3 linked regions of the Macaca mulatta genome follow. Each later gene encodes a partner of the first gene's protein in a complex. Links are inferred from orthologs where the notes say so. Each region holds a gene or a part of one and is shown on either strand. Other genes may lie near its edges. The genes, in order: HERPUD1, UBE2J1 and OS9.

Region 1 (3,649 bases):
ACTAAACCTTGCCCTTGAAAACCTGCACAAAGTGGGGAGAAAGCATATACCTACAAAACTATCATTATATATAACATAATGACAACCTACATTTGGTCATTTAAATATATGATTCTAGAGACTATAGAAAATATTAACTAAATGTTTGATTTGAAGAAACCAATTAAATCCCAAGTCTTAAAACAAATATAACAAAATATTAGCAATGATTAATTGTGGATATTTGAGTGTTCATTATATTCTAATTATTTTTTATTTTTAAAAGCTAAAATAAAAATCCATTTTTACTATAAAGGAAAATTTCTTCTTTTAGTTTCAACCATGAAGACTCATCACTCTAGGCCAGGCTTTCTCAGCTTTCGCACTAGTGACATATTGAGCCAAATATTTACTGTGGGAGTTGTCCTGTGCATTGTAGAAAATTCAGCAGCACTCTTGCTTCTACTAACCAGATGCTAGCAGGACCACTTCCCCTAGATGTGACAAACAAAAATACCTACACATTGCCAAATGTCCCCTGGGGAGAGAGAGTACAAAACCACCCCCAGGTGAGTACTGCTCCAGGCCACAGCTAAAACCAAATGTCAGGTATGTGAAGATTCCCTTGCCTTTCAGGGCTATGCTAACAGTCAGTGCCTGACCTTTACCCTGGAAGGCAGCTGTGGCCTGATAAAGGCAAATATGTTCTCATTCAAAACAAATACAATTTGCTGTTCCATGCCTCAGTATGGCTACATAATTCTGGTTTGTGAGCCTGGAAGGTAAGGTAGCTTATCTAGAGGACAAGAGAATATTCTTGTATTAATACAGGATTGATATGTTCTTGGGACCATACAACCAACCAAGGCATGAATTCCTTGTACTGAAAGTGCCATAATGATATACTATTTATTATATATTTATTCTAAGACAGGGTCTTGCTCTGTCACCCAGGCTGGAGCACAGTGGTGCAATCTTGGCTCACTGCAACCTCTGCCTCCTCAGTTCAAGCAATTCTCCTGCCTCAGCTACCCAAGTAAATCACAGGCCCGCGCCACCATACCCGGCTAATTTTTTGTATTTTTAGTAGAGACAGGGTTTCACCATATTGGCCAGGATGGTCTTGAACTCTTGGCTTCATGTGATCCTCCTGCCTCGGCCTCCCAAAGTGCTGGGATCACAGGCGTGAGCCACTGCGCCCAGCCACAGAATGATATACTATTTAAACACACCTCCTTCTATAGTAACTGAGATTGCTCAAAAAAGAGCAAATCTGGCCAGGCGCAGTGGCTCACGCCTGTAAAACCAGCACTTTGGGAGGCCAAGGTGGGCGGATCACTTGAGGTCAGGAGTTCGAGACCAGCCTGGCCAATATGGCAAAACCCCGTCTCTACTAGAAATACAAAAATTAGCCAGGCGTGGTGGCAGGTGCCTGTAATACCAACTACCCAGGAGGCTGAGGCAAGAGAATCGCTTGAACCCGAGAAGCGGAGGTTGCAGTGATCGTGCCATTATACTCTGGCCTGAGTGACAGAGCGAGACTCTGTCTCAAAAAAAAAAAAAAAAAAACACAAAAAACAAAAAAGAGCAAAATCTGCTTAGTGTGAACACAATGTAGCGTAATTTGTATTAGAGAAACCATCTGCTTACAGGTACATAACAACGGTGGCCCCCATGACCATGAGGAATCTGCTCAGGGAGGAGTAGAAGTAGAGGATACTGAGAAAAACAGAAAATGTAGCTGCTGAATAGGTCCAATCCAACCAATCTCGATTTATTTCATCATCTTCTTCCACAATAGGGCCACCTTGTGCATTCATCCGCAAATTTTGATTGGCTCCAGGATTAACAACCACTTGAGGAGCAGCATTCTGATTGGCTGGCTGGTTTTCAGCTGGAAACTGGTTGTGAATAGGGGCTGGAGCAGGTGCAGAGACCACAGGTATCTCTTGTGCACTTGGTGGTGGAACAAAAGCCCCCGATGCAGCAGTGGCTGCTAAACTAAAATAAAAATGACAGAGGCAGATACTGTTGAGACCAAAGCACCGTGAAGGCTGTGGCTTATTTACACAGCAGTCTTTTACTGTTAAGAATTTGAAGTAGGTAGATATGCATTTGATTTTCCTTCAATTTAGTGAAGAACTTCCTTACTAACTATATCTATAAATGCCTTTTCTAAGAGAAGCCACGTGGTGAATTTCACCTGGAATTAAACATCAAGGCCACTGTAAGATTATGGCACAGTAGCAAATTAAAATCTTCACAAAACTTTGAAGGTACCACAAATTGAAAAGAAAGTAACATGTTCTAAATAAAGTCACTAAACTGTGTATCAGACAAAAACACCCTTGTGTCAATATACAAATCAGGTAACAGCTGTCATTTACACTCTACTCCACCCACAGACCAAACAGAGCAGGGCTCTGCAGACTGATGAAAATACATTCATCCCTCCATTCTGAACTTTACAGGTAACATGGATAAAATTCCTCTCAATTCCCGGGAGCCCTGGCCACACCCAGCACAGCGGGAAGGACTCACTATTGCATGTAGTACTGTCGTGCATATATCTGCTGGAACCAGGAAAGCTGAAGCCACCCATAGGGTGTGTAACCGGAGAAACCAGGACCCAGGCCTTGGAATGCCTGCTGGGCAGCTTCAGGCCTATACACAGATTTAAAAAAACACTCATTTTGAGTGGGTTGAGTATGAGCAAATGAAAACTAAGTTTAAATTAAAATCTAGAATTCAAATGGAAGAGACAGAAGAATGGGATTTATGGCAGTTACATGGTAAATGACTGTATGATGCACCCATGTACCATAAGCACGGAAGGTACTAAATGACACAGCACTTCTACCACAGTCCTATCCCACAGGAAAACAACAGCCCTTGCCACCTACTTGCTGAGTGCATGTATAAACAACCTTTTGGGGTTAAGTAGATAGATCCCTGCTCAGTTTTGACTTGTTGAGTCTCACTGCAAGTCTCAACCCACTGTTTATCTTTTAGAGGGCAGCTCAAAAGTCATATTTCTCCCAGTCTTTCCTGAAGGAAATCTCTCCCATCCTCCTGATATCCACACTTCTTCCTCCACCCTCCATCTGTATCTATAGTGATGTGTGCATGTGGCATCACCTGCGCATGCTTACTGACTACCTGGGGTCCTGTACAGGCTGCTGCATCCACAGCAATCTCACGAAGGAGATTTTACAAGGGGAACCCAAGTACAGCTCAGGGAAGACAGGGGCTTTACACAAGGTCACTGAGCTAGTTAAGTAGCAAGGCTGGATTTCAGAGCTGGTCTGATGTCAAATGCACGCTTCTTCAATCAGGCCACACAGCCCTCAACTTCATAGGGCAGGTGTATGTGGGTTATCTTTGGCTTTGTGCTTCTTACACAGTGTATTTCTTCAGTAGCACATCACAAAATTGAAAGCATAATAGAATTGCCCGAAGATCAGAAATTGGTTATGTGGTCATTCCTGCAGGTCAACTCATATCCTTAAGCACAGTTATATGTACTGGCTGTTCAATAAGTATTTGTTAAAGGAAATCAAGTTTAACTATGGTGAGATTCAGAAAGTCAAATACGAGCCTCAATTCTCAAGTTAGAAATAGTTGAATCAGAATAAGGGAAGAAGTTTTTCTAACCAATAATTTTCTATCC
Region 2 (4,349 bases), on another chromosome or scaffold:
CCTTGGCCAGAGCGGACCCAAACATGGGTCAAGTAAATTGATCCATAGACAACTACTGACAGGTTAGTCAGAGGCTTTGAGGTGATCCTACACAACAGCTCTACCCACAATCACAAGTCCATTCCAAAAAACACCATAAAGGAAAAAGTTTCCCCACCTATGAAATGAACAAATTTACTATATCCACATGCTACTACACTGGCCCTTAACCAACTATCTGTATTGTCTTCACTTCATCTTTCCACTCATACATCAAAGACAATCCCACATCAGATAAAGAGTAAAAGATTATGTCTCTCCCGTTGTGTGGTTGTTTTTTGTTTGTCTGGTTGGTTGGTGTTTTACGTGTGTGTGCACCCTGCCGTACGCAGGAAACTGGAGTTTTCAGTTGCTCCCCTTCACACAGGCATTACTCTAAAAATAACACAGGACTGAGAATAAAGCAAAGGAAGGAAGTATTTTCACGATGCCTCCCAGCATTTTCAGTAAGTCCCATATCTCACCTAATTCAACTTCTCCATGAACTCCAAATAATTCACACATTAACAAAAATAGATTTTTAAGAAGCACTGTTTTTTTTTTTAGAACCGCAACACTATCTTTGAGGAAATGAAACCAAAAAAAGGAAGCAATTTATGACACAGTTAGAAGCATGTCAACCAAAGCTCAACCAGCTGACAATAGTTGACATACTTTGGAAATGTACAAAATTCTGAAGAATTTTAAAAACATCATCATAGTATTACGTCTAACCTATCAAAATTGAGCGATGTTTTCTGACAACAATCTCTTGGGTTCCACCAGTTCTCCATTCCAAACTGCACTACTACTCACATGTGCATTATTCTCTGGACCTTTCACTGAGCACCTCTGCTGTCCTAAGGAACCATGTGACCAGGAAGCCATCATACATTTTTACCCAAACAGTTCTAGTTAAATCTACCACAATGTAAAGAATTCAATCATTTTACCATCTACCTTAAAAATTAAGCTTTTCTTTCCCTCTTTCTCTTTGGTCTTTTCTTCCTCCCTCCCCACCCCGGGGTTCTTTTTGTTTTTTGTTTTTGTTTTTGTTTTTTTAGATGGAGTCTCGCTCTGTTGCCCACACTGGAGTGCAGTGGCGCGATATTGGCTCACTGCAACCTCAGCCTCCACGGGTCAAGCCATCCTCCTGCCTCAGCCTCCCGAGTGGCTGGAACTACAGAAGTGCGCCAACACCATGCCCGGCTAATTTTTGTGTTTTTAGTAGAGACGGGCTTTCGCCATGTTGGCCAGGCTGCTCTCCACCTCCTGGGCTCAGGCCTCCCAAAGTGCTGGGATTACAGGCATGTGCCACCGTGCCAGGTCTTCATCAGATTTTTTTGAGGAGTCAGTGGCCCCTAAAATATTATGACCAATTCTACACACTTGGTCACCTAAGGACATTTCTGAGCTTGACAGCACTCAGGTTAACAAAGCTCCCTCCAATCAATATCCTCAGGCTTTTCTGGGGTTTTTGCATATTCTGAAACCATACAAAAAACCCAAAGATTCACAATGTCAACTCTTTCCATAAGGATGCTAGTCTTGCTAATTCCTACTGAGAAACAGCTTTTTTTGGAAGGAAATGTTAAGCAACGCAAAAGTTAGTGAAATCACTAATACCCTAGAGTTTATCATGCAGAGTTAACTGTAGAGTTTCTTCCCCCTGACAAAATGTATCAAGGTACAGATAGAAAAAATACCATTTAGAGGATCCAATGATTTATTTCAAGCCTGTTTCATTAAGCTGAGAAAGCTAGTTGCTTATCTTTATAATGCACCAGAAAGTAAAGGTTAGTATTGCTGGGACTGCTTGTGTAAATAAAGCAGGATCATTAAATGCAGGAAAGGAATCCTACGACTGAAGACAGATATGTTTCATATTAGCCAGTCTGGCAAAAATCAAGGTTAGCTCTCAAGAACAGGGCTCAACTAGGTGTTTTTTGTTGTTGTTGTTTTGTTTTTGTTTTGTTTTGCTTTAGCTCTACAGTTAACTGGTTTAGTTACAGAACACTTCCTTTATGTCTGTAATTGCATTCGCCCAAGTGCTGCAAATAGGATGTTTAAACGACTAACTCCTCAAATGTGAGTAAATCAGCAGGCTAATAGTCCACTGACAGCGACGGGGAGGGAATTAACGACGGTGTTCAGGATGCAGGTACAGCGAGGGGGTTGCTGACTATCGCCCACCCACATCACCTTTACACCTGTTCTCAGGGATGAGTTTCTGACCCAGCTCTACGGGACCGGGCGAAGACGAGAAAAGGGGGAGGCTGGGTGCTGCGGGCGCTGGCCGGCCGGGGGATTGGCAGCGGGCGTCCACCCGGCCACCCCGCCCTGCGGCCTGCACTTCCCGGGCAGGCGGCGGTCTCGCGTAGAGCGCGAAACCAGGAGCTGAGCCGCGAGTGGCGCCAGACGTGAGGGGACCGCGGCGACCGCCCCGGGGTCCAGGGTCACTCCGCACTCCTAGCCCAGGGGCCCCAGCCCTGCTCACCCGGACTCTTCAGGTTGTAGCGGGTCTCCATGGCGGGTCGCTGGCCTGGCTCCGGCCTCCCGGGCAGCTGCCACCTCCTCTCCACGCGGCCGCTGCCCAGGTCTCAGCGCGGCTCGGGCGGACGGGGCCTGGCCGAGGAGCCTTGGCAAATGCCGCCCAGTCCAGCCCGGACTGCGGGCGGGTGGCAAGGCTGAGTGCTGGCGAGGCGCTGGCTTCGCGATGGCGCCGCCTCCTCCGCTGCGCCCCCGCCTCCCTGAGTGCCTGGCAGGCACCGGCGCCGGCCGGGGCGTCGCTGAACCCGGCGCCCGGGCTGGAGGTCAGCCTCCTCCGGTAGCCGCAGGCCCAGCCCCGTCGCGGCCGCCCGGCTTGCGTCACCCGCCCTCGTCCGGGATTTGTGAAGTTGCCCTGACGTGGCAGTAGCTTCGTGGCGGTCGGTCCCTACCCAGCCGCCGCCGGCCCCGCGAAGCCGGCTTGGGGAGCTGCAGGAGCGAGCGGCGTCCTAGTCCTCTCGTTCCGGCCCCCGGAAACCGGCCTTCCGCCGGACCCTCTGGGGTCCGTCCCCAGGCGCTGGCGGGTTTCACCGAGGAACCGCGCGGCGCGAAGCGGCTCCGGCCCTACCCGCTGTAGGCGAAGTCTGGGATCCCCGGGCCCTGGAGAGCTCAGAGAGGGCGCCGGGCTCCGGCTGCAAAGCTGTCCGCATCCGGCTGCCCGCGCGCGGTCCCGCGGGGTCTGGGAAGGGCTTTGTTTTTAGATCCAGTCCCTGTTGCGGGGGGCGGGAGTTAAGTGAGGAGGGGGAAAGCCAGTGATAAGGGAATGGAATAGGAATTTTTTTTTTTTTTTTTGAGACGGTGTCACCGCTCTGTCGCCCAGGCTGGGGTGCAGTGGCGCGATCTTGGCTCACTGCAGCCTCTACCTCCTGGGCCCAGGCGATCCTCCCACCTCAGCCTCCAGCGTGGCTGGGACCGCAGGTGTGTGCCATCACGCCCGGTTAATTTTTTGTATTTTTGATAGAGACAGGGTTTCGTCGTGTTGGCCCGGCTGGTCTCGAACTCCTGGACTCAAGTGATCCGCCCGCCTCGGCCTCCCAAAGTGCTGGGATTACAGGCGTGAGTCACGGCTCTGGCTGGAGTTGGATATTCATAATAGTTTTTTTTCTTGGGTAGTGTGTTAGGTGCAAGACGCTGTTTTAGGCATTGCAGGAGTTTTGGGTTTTTTGGTTTGTTTAGATGTAAAAGCTGTCAAAAAAAAAAAAAAGGAATTACATTGAATTTGAGGGAAAGCATACAAATATGAAAGGTTAAACTTCAAAGGACACACTTCCTGCTTCATTGTCCAATGTGTGGGATCGAGAGAGAGGACTGAGTTCAAAAGTCTCAAGGAGTAGGAACCTACCTTAGGAAAGGAAAGGAGGGAGGGATTGGGAAGGTGGGCCGGATAGAAAGGGTTAATCAGGTTGGGCAAGTTTTATTCTGTTATATAAAGATATAAAACTCTTAAATTTGATTTGTTTTCTATTGTTAATATAAATCTGAATTTCTTGGTGAAATTGGGAGGAAAAAAGTGAAGGGTATCTAAAATTAGATGGTATCTTTTAAACCATTCCCTGAGGTTGTTTTCTGTATAGTAAACTGATAATCTGATTGGCTGAGACATGCAAACAAAACCAAACTCCAATGCTGTTTCATTCATTCATTGTGTTGAATCTTCAGATATATCTAACACTTGACACCCTCTCCTGCCACAGCTCTACAAAAACCCCTAATTTGTGCAATAGGCCCTACCACAGCAAGGCCTGCAAAGCAGGTGCTGTATATAATGCGCTCCTATTTGATAG
Region 3 (2,982 bases), on another chromosome or scaffold:
CACTCCGGCCTGGGCAACAGAGCGAGACTCTTGTCTCAATAAAAGAAAGAAAAAAAAAATCAAGAGTCCTCCACACTGGGAGGAGGCATGTTGGGGGACCCATGCTTGCACTTGGTAGTGAAGAAGAAAGGGAGACACCAGGCCCACATACCCTTGGCACACTAAGAAACTGGCATGTGTGGGCAGCAGCCCTCTCTCTGGGCATGCCCAAAGGTGGAGGTCTTTTTGGGAAATGTTGAAAGGACAGGTGGGTAGGGGTGTGGGTGACAAATGGAATCTGGAGCATGCTGTGGGCGAGACCGCAGCAGAAGGAAGATCCCTGCTGTGGGGAACTCCATGGTGTGCATTTTGGCTTTCAGGGTATAAAGGGGGAAATGATAGGGAAAGACTTGGTGCAAGAGAAGGGAAGGAACAGAAACAGACAGATGAGAAAAAGAAGATGACGGTACTGCAAGTGTTTCTTTCAATCCTTGCCAGGCCAGGCTTCATTTAGCCACTCTGGTCTCTTCCTGCATACCCCAGCCCCCGTTTATAGTACCTGGGGAGTGGGGAGCAAAGAACAGGATCAGAGCATGATCTGAAAAGAACACTGAGCCTCCTCCCTGCTGGAACCCCCACCCCACAAAAAAGGTTGACAGATTGATGGTCCAGTTCTTTATTTAGAAACCTGATTGTTCAAGAACATGGTGGATGCTTCACAGCTTTTTCACTGGGATTGTGCTGGAGGTGATGGGCAGCATTCTCCCATTTCCTCAGCAACAGAGGTGAAGGCTCCTCAACTCAGAAGCACAAATTGTAGGGGACAGGGTGGGCAGGGAAAGGGAGAAGGACATCTCAAGGCAATTCAAGAGAAGGGGGTAAAGCAACTCCAAACAGCACTAAGGGCAGGTGGAGGCCTGCTTGCTCAGTGCCTGCTAAGTGTCCTGCCCTCCTTGCTCTCTCTACCCACCTCCACTCAGAAGATCCTACCGAATCTCCAGGTAGGGAGCAGGGAATATCCTATCATTAGAGTACAATAACAAGAAAAGCCACAGAGGAAGAGGAAGAGGATTGAGCGAAAGCTCAGGAGAGCAAACATCACAGGCCGGGTGAGCTCTCAAGGTGGCTGCCAGCTGGGGTGGCAGCATTCACCCAGGGCCCCCACACCCACAGAATTGCCCGAGAGGTCCACAGCTCAGCTCCACTCTGCTGTTTGGCCCTCAGGGGTCCCAGGGTGGGGAGGTGGGGAGGAGGCAGGCCAGTCCAGGAAGACTCTGGATTCTATGAAGGGTCAAGTGCAGTGTTGGTCTCAGAAGTCAAATTCGTCCAGGTCCCCTGTGCCCTCCCCACCTTGAGAGCCCCACACCCGGCGGTAATTGCTCTCCAGCTCTTTCTGCCGCTGGCGTTCCTTCTGGGCCTCTTCAGCTCCCGGCACCTGGTGGGAGAGGGTAGAGGTGGGCTGGAGCTACTCGCTGTTGAGCCCAAGGAAGTCCTGGGCCAGGCAGCTGGGGGAAGGCAGGGAATGAGGACACCCATGTCCTGAGAGGCTCTTCCTGCATGGCAGCACTCTGAATCACTGGAACCCTAGCCTTGTCTTACAGATCAGGAAACGGAAGCTCAGCAACGGCATGGCTGGGGCAGGCCCACACCTCCACTCCAGGCGGGCTGGGGACAGGAGGCCTGGGGGCCAGGACTTGGGGGTAGAAGCCTCTCACCAAGATATTGAAGAAGATCTCCTTGAGGTTTCTTGTGTCCTCATCAGTCAACCAACGTGCACCCTCTTCAGTTCCTTCAGCCCATGGGCGGACAATTTTGATCTCAATTTTCCCTGGAAAGGAGCAGTATGCAGTGAGAGGAGAGGATGGCTGGGAGCCTCAGGGCAGGCCCCCTGCCCCACTGGTCCCAGCCCCTCCACTTCCGGCAGCTTGCCCTTCCGACAGTGCTGGGTCCAGCCGCCCTCCAGGGCCCACCTGCAGCTGTGAGTCCCTCCCTCTCCAGCAGCTCCTTCACCAGCCCCTCGATTTGTTTCAGCTGTGGGTTTTCCCGTTTCATCTCGAGGACAGTCAGATCCTGATTAGGGCCTCCGAGACGGAGCTTGGTGACCCGGACCCGGACTCTGTGCTCAGGATCCTCCTCTTAGAGGGGGAGACACACAGGGAAACACAAAGCAGAGGCATGACTCCAGGGTTAGGGGTGGCAGCTTTGGCAGCTATTCCATCTCAACATGTGTATGAGCCAGGGCTCAAAAAAATGTGTGCCCCCACTCCCAATTCAGCCTATAGAGCTCCCTCCACCAATTGCTGCCTTCCGTCTTCCCACCCTACCCAATAATTCTGCCCATCACCTATAGGAAAACAAATGTTTTCTGAAGCCAAAAGCAGGCCACCTGCACCAACAAAGTTTTGTCTGAAGAAGCAGGTTGGAAAAGTGTGGTCTCCTCCTCCATATGTTAGGACTTTAAAGACATTTCAATGTTTATAGGGAGAATGGGATGGAGGGTTTGAAACTGGAACATTTCATTTGGAACATCTGATGTCCACACCCATAGGACCCTATGAAATGGACACAAGGGGATGCAAGAAGAAGACATAATTTAAAGTCTATCCAGGCTATTGGCTCATGTGCGGCTGGGCTCTCCTATTCATGCCCTGACAGCTGGGGACTCTCTTGGTGCAAAGTCCTAAATGTTGACAGGTTGCATCCTTCATAGATGTGTGGTTTTCACATATAGACTCGCAAGCATTCAATTACTACCTACTGATCATCCATTGTGTGCCAGGCAGAGTGCTAGGTACTGGGTGTACAGGAGCAAACCAGAAAACAGGCAGACATGCTCTAAAAGCTGCTTCCCAGAGGGATGAATAGGAGGTAAGCACGCAAAGGGATGATGGTGATGGGAAGCAGGTGCAAGTGAGGACAGTGTTCCAGAAACCGGGGAGAGAATAAGCACCCTCAGAAGGGAAGGAACAGGGTCCCCTCTGGGAATAGGACCAGCTGAGGGAT

The links.
Region 2: HERPUD1 (region 1) and UBE2J1 share a complex: the UniProt entries of both Homo sapiens proteins name them as parts of the HRD1 complex. The link is inferred for Macaca mulatta from reciprocal best matches to the Homo sapiens genes HERPUD1 and UBE2J1.
Region 3: HERPUD1 (region 1) and OS9 share a complex: the UniProt entries of both Homo sapiens proteins name them as parts of the HRD1 complex. The link is inferred for Macaca mulatta from reciprocal best matches to the Homo sapiens genes HERPUD1 and OS9.

What each region holds. Positions count from the first base shown.
Region 1 is NC_133425.1:52,538,761-52,542,409, reverse strand, and holds part of HERPUD1 (homocysteine-responsive endoplasmic reticulum-resident ubiquitin-like domain member 1 protein), read right to left. Parts: intron 2,644-3,649; coding exon 2,521-2,643; intron 1,981-2,520; coding exon 1,630-1,980; exon of another isoform or gene 1,522-1,629; intron 923-1,521; exon of another isoform or gene 1-922. UniProt on the Homo sapiens protein: Component of the endoplasmic reticulum quality control (ERQC) system also called ER-associated degradation (ERAD) involved in ubiquitin-dependent degradation of misfolded endoplasmic reticulum proteins.
Region 2 is NC_133409.1:96,637,076-96,641,424, reverse strand, and holds the start of UBE2J1 (ubiquitin-conjugating enzyme E2 J1), read right to left. Parts: upstream 2,864-4,349; 5' UTR 2,547-2,863; coding exon 2,516-2,546; intron 1-2,515. UniProt on the Homo sapiens protein: Catalyzes the covalent attachment of ubiquitin to other proteins. Functions in the selective degradation of misfolded membrane proteins from the endoplasmic reticulum (ERAD) and is essential for cells to recover from ER stress.
Region 3 is NC_133416.1:64,898,614-64,901,595, reverse strand, and holds the end of OS9 (protein OS-9 precursor), read right to left. Parts: intron 2,115-2,982; coding exon 1,950-2,114; intron 1,808-1,949; coding exon 1,695-1,807; intron 1,415-1,694; coding exon 1,289-1,414; 3' UTR 640-1,288; downstream 1-639. UniProt on the Homo sapiens protein: Lectin component of the HRD1 complex, which functions in endoplasmic reticulum (ER) quality control and ER-associated degradation (ERAD).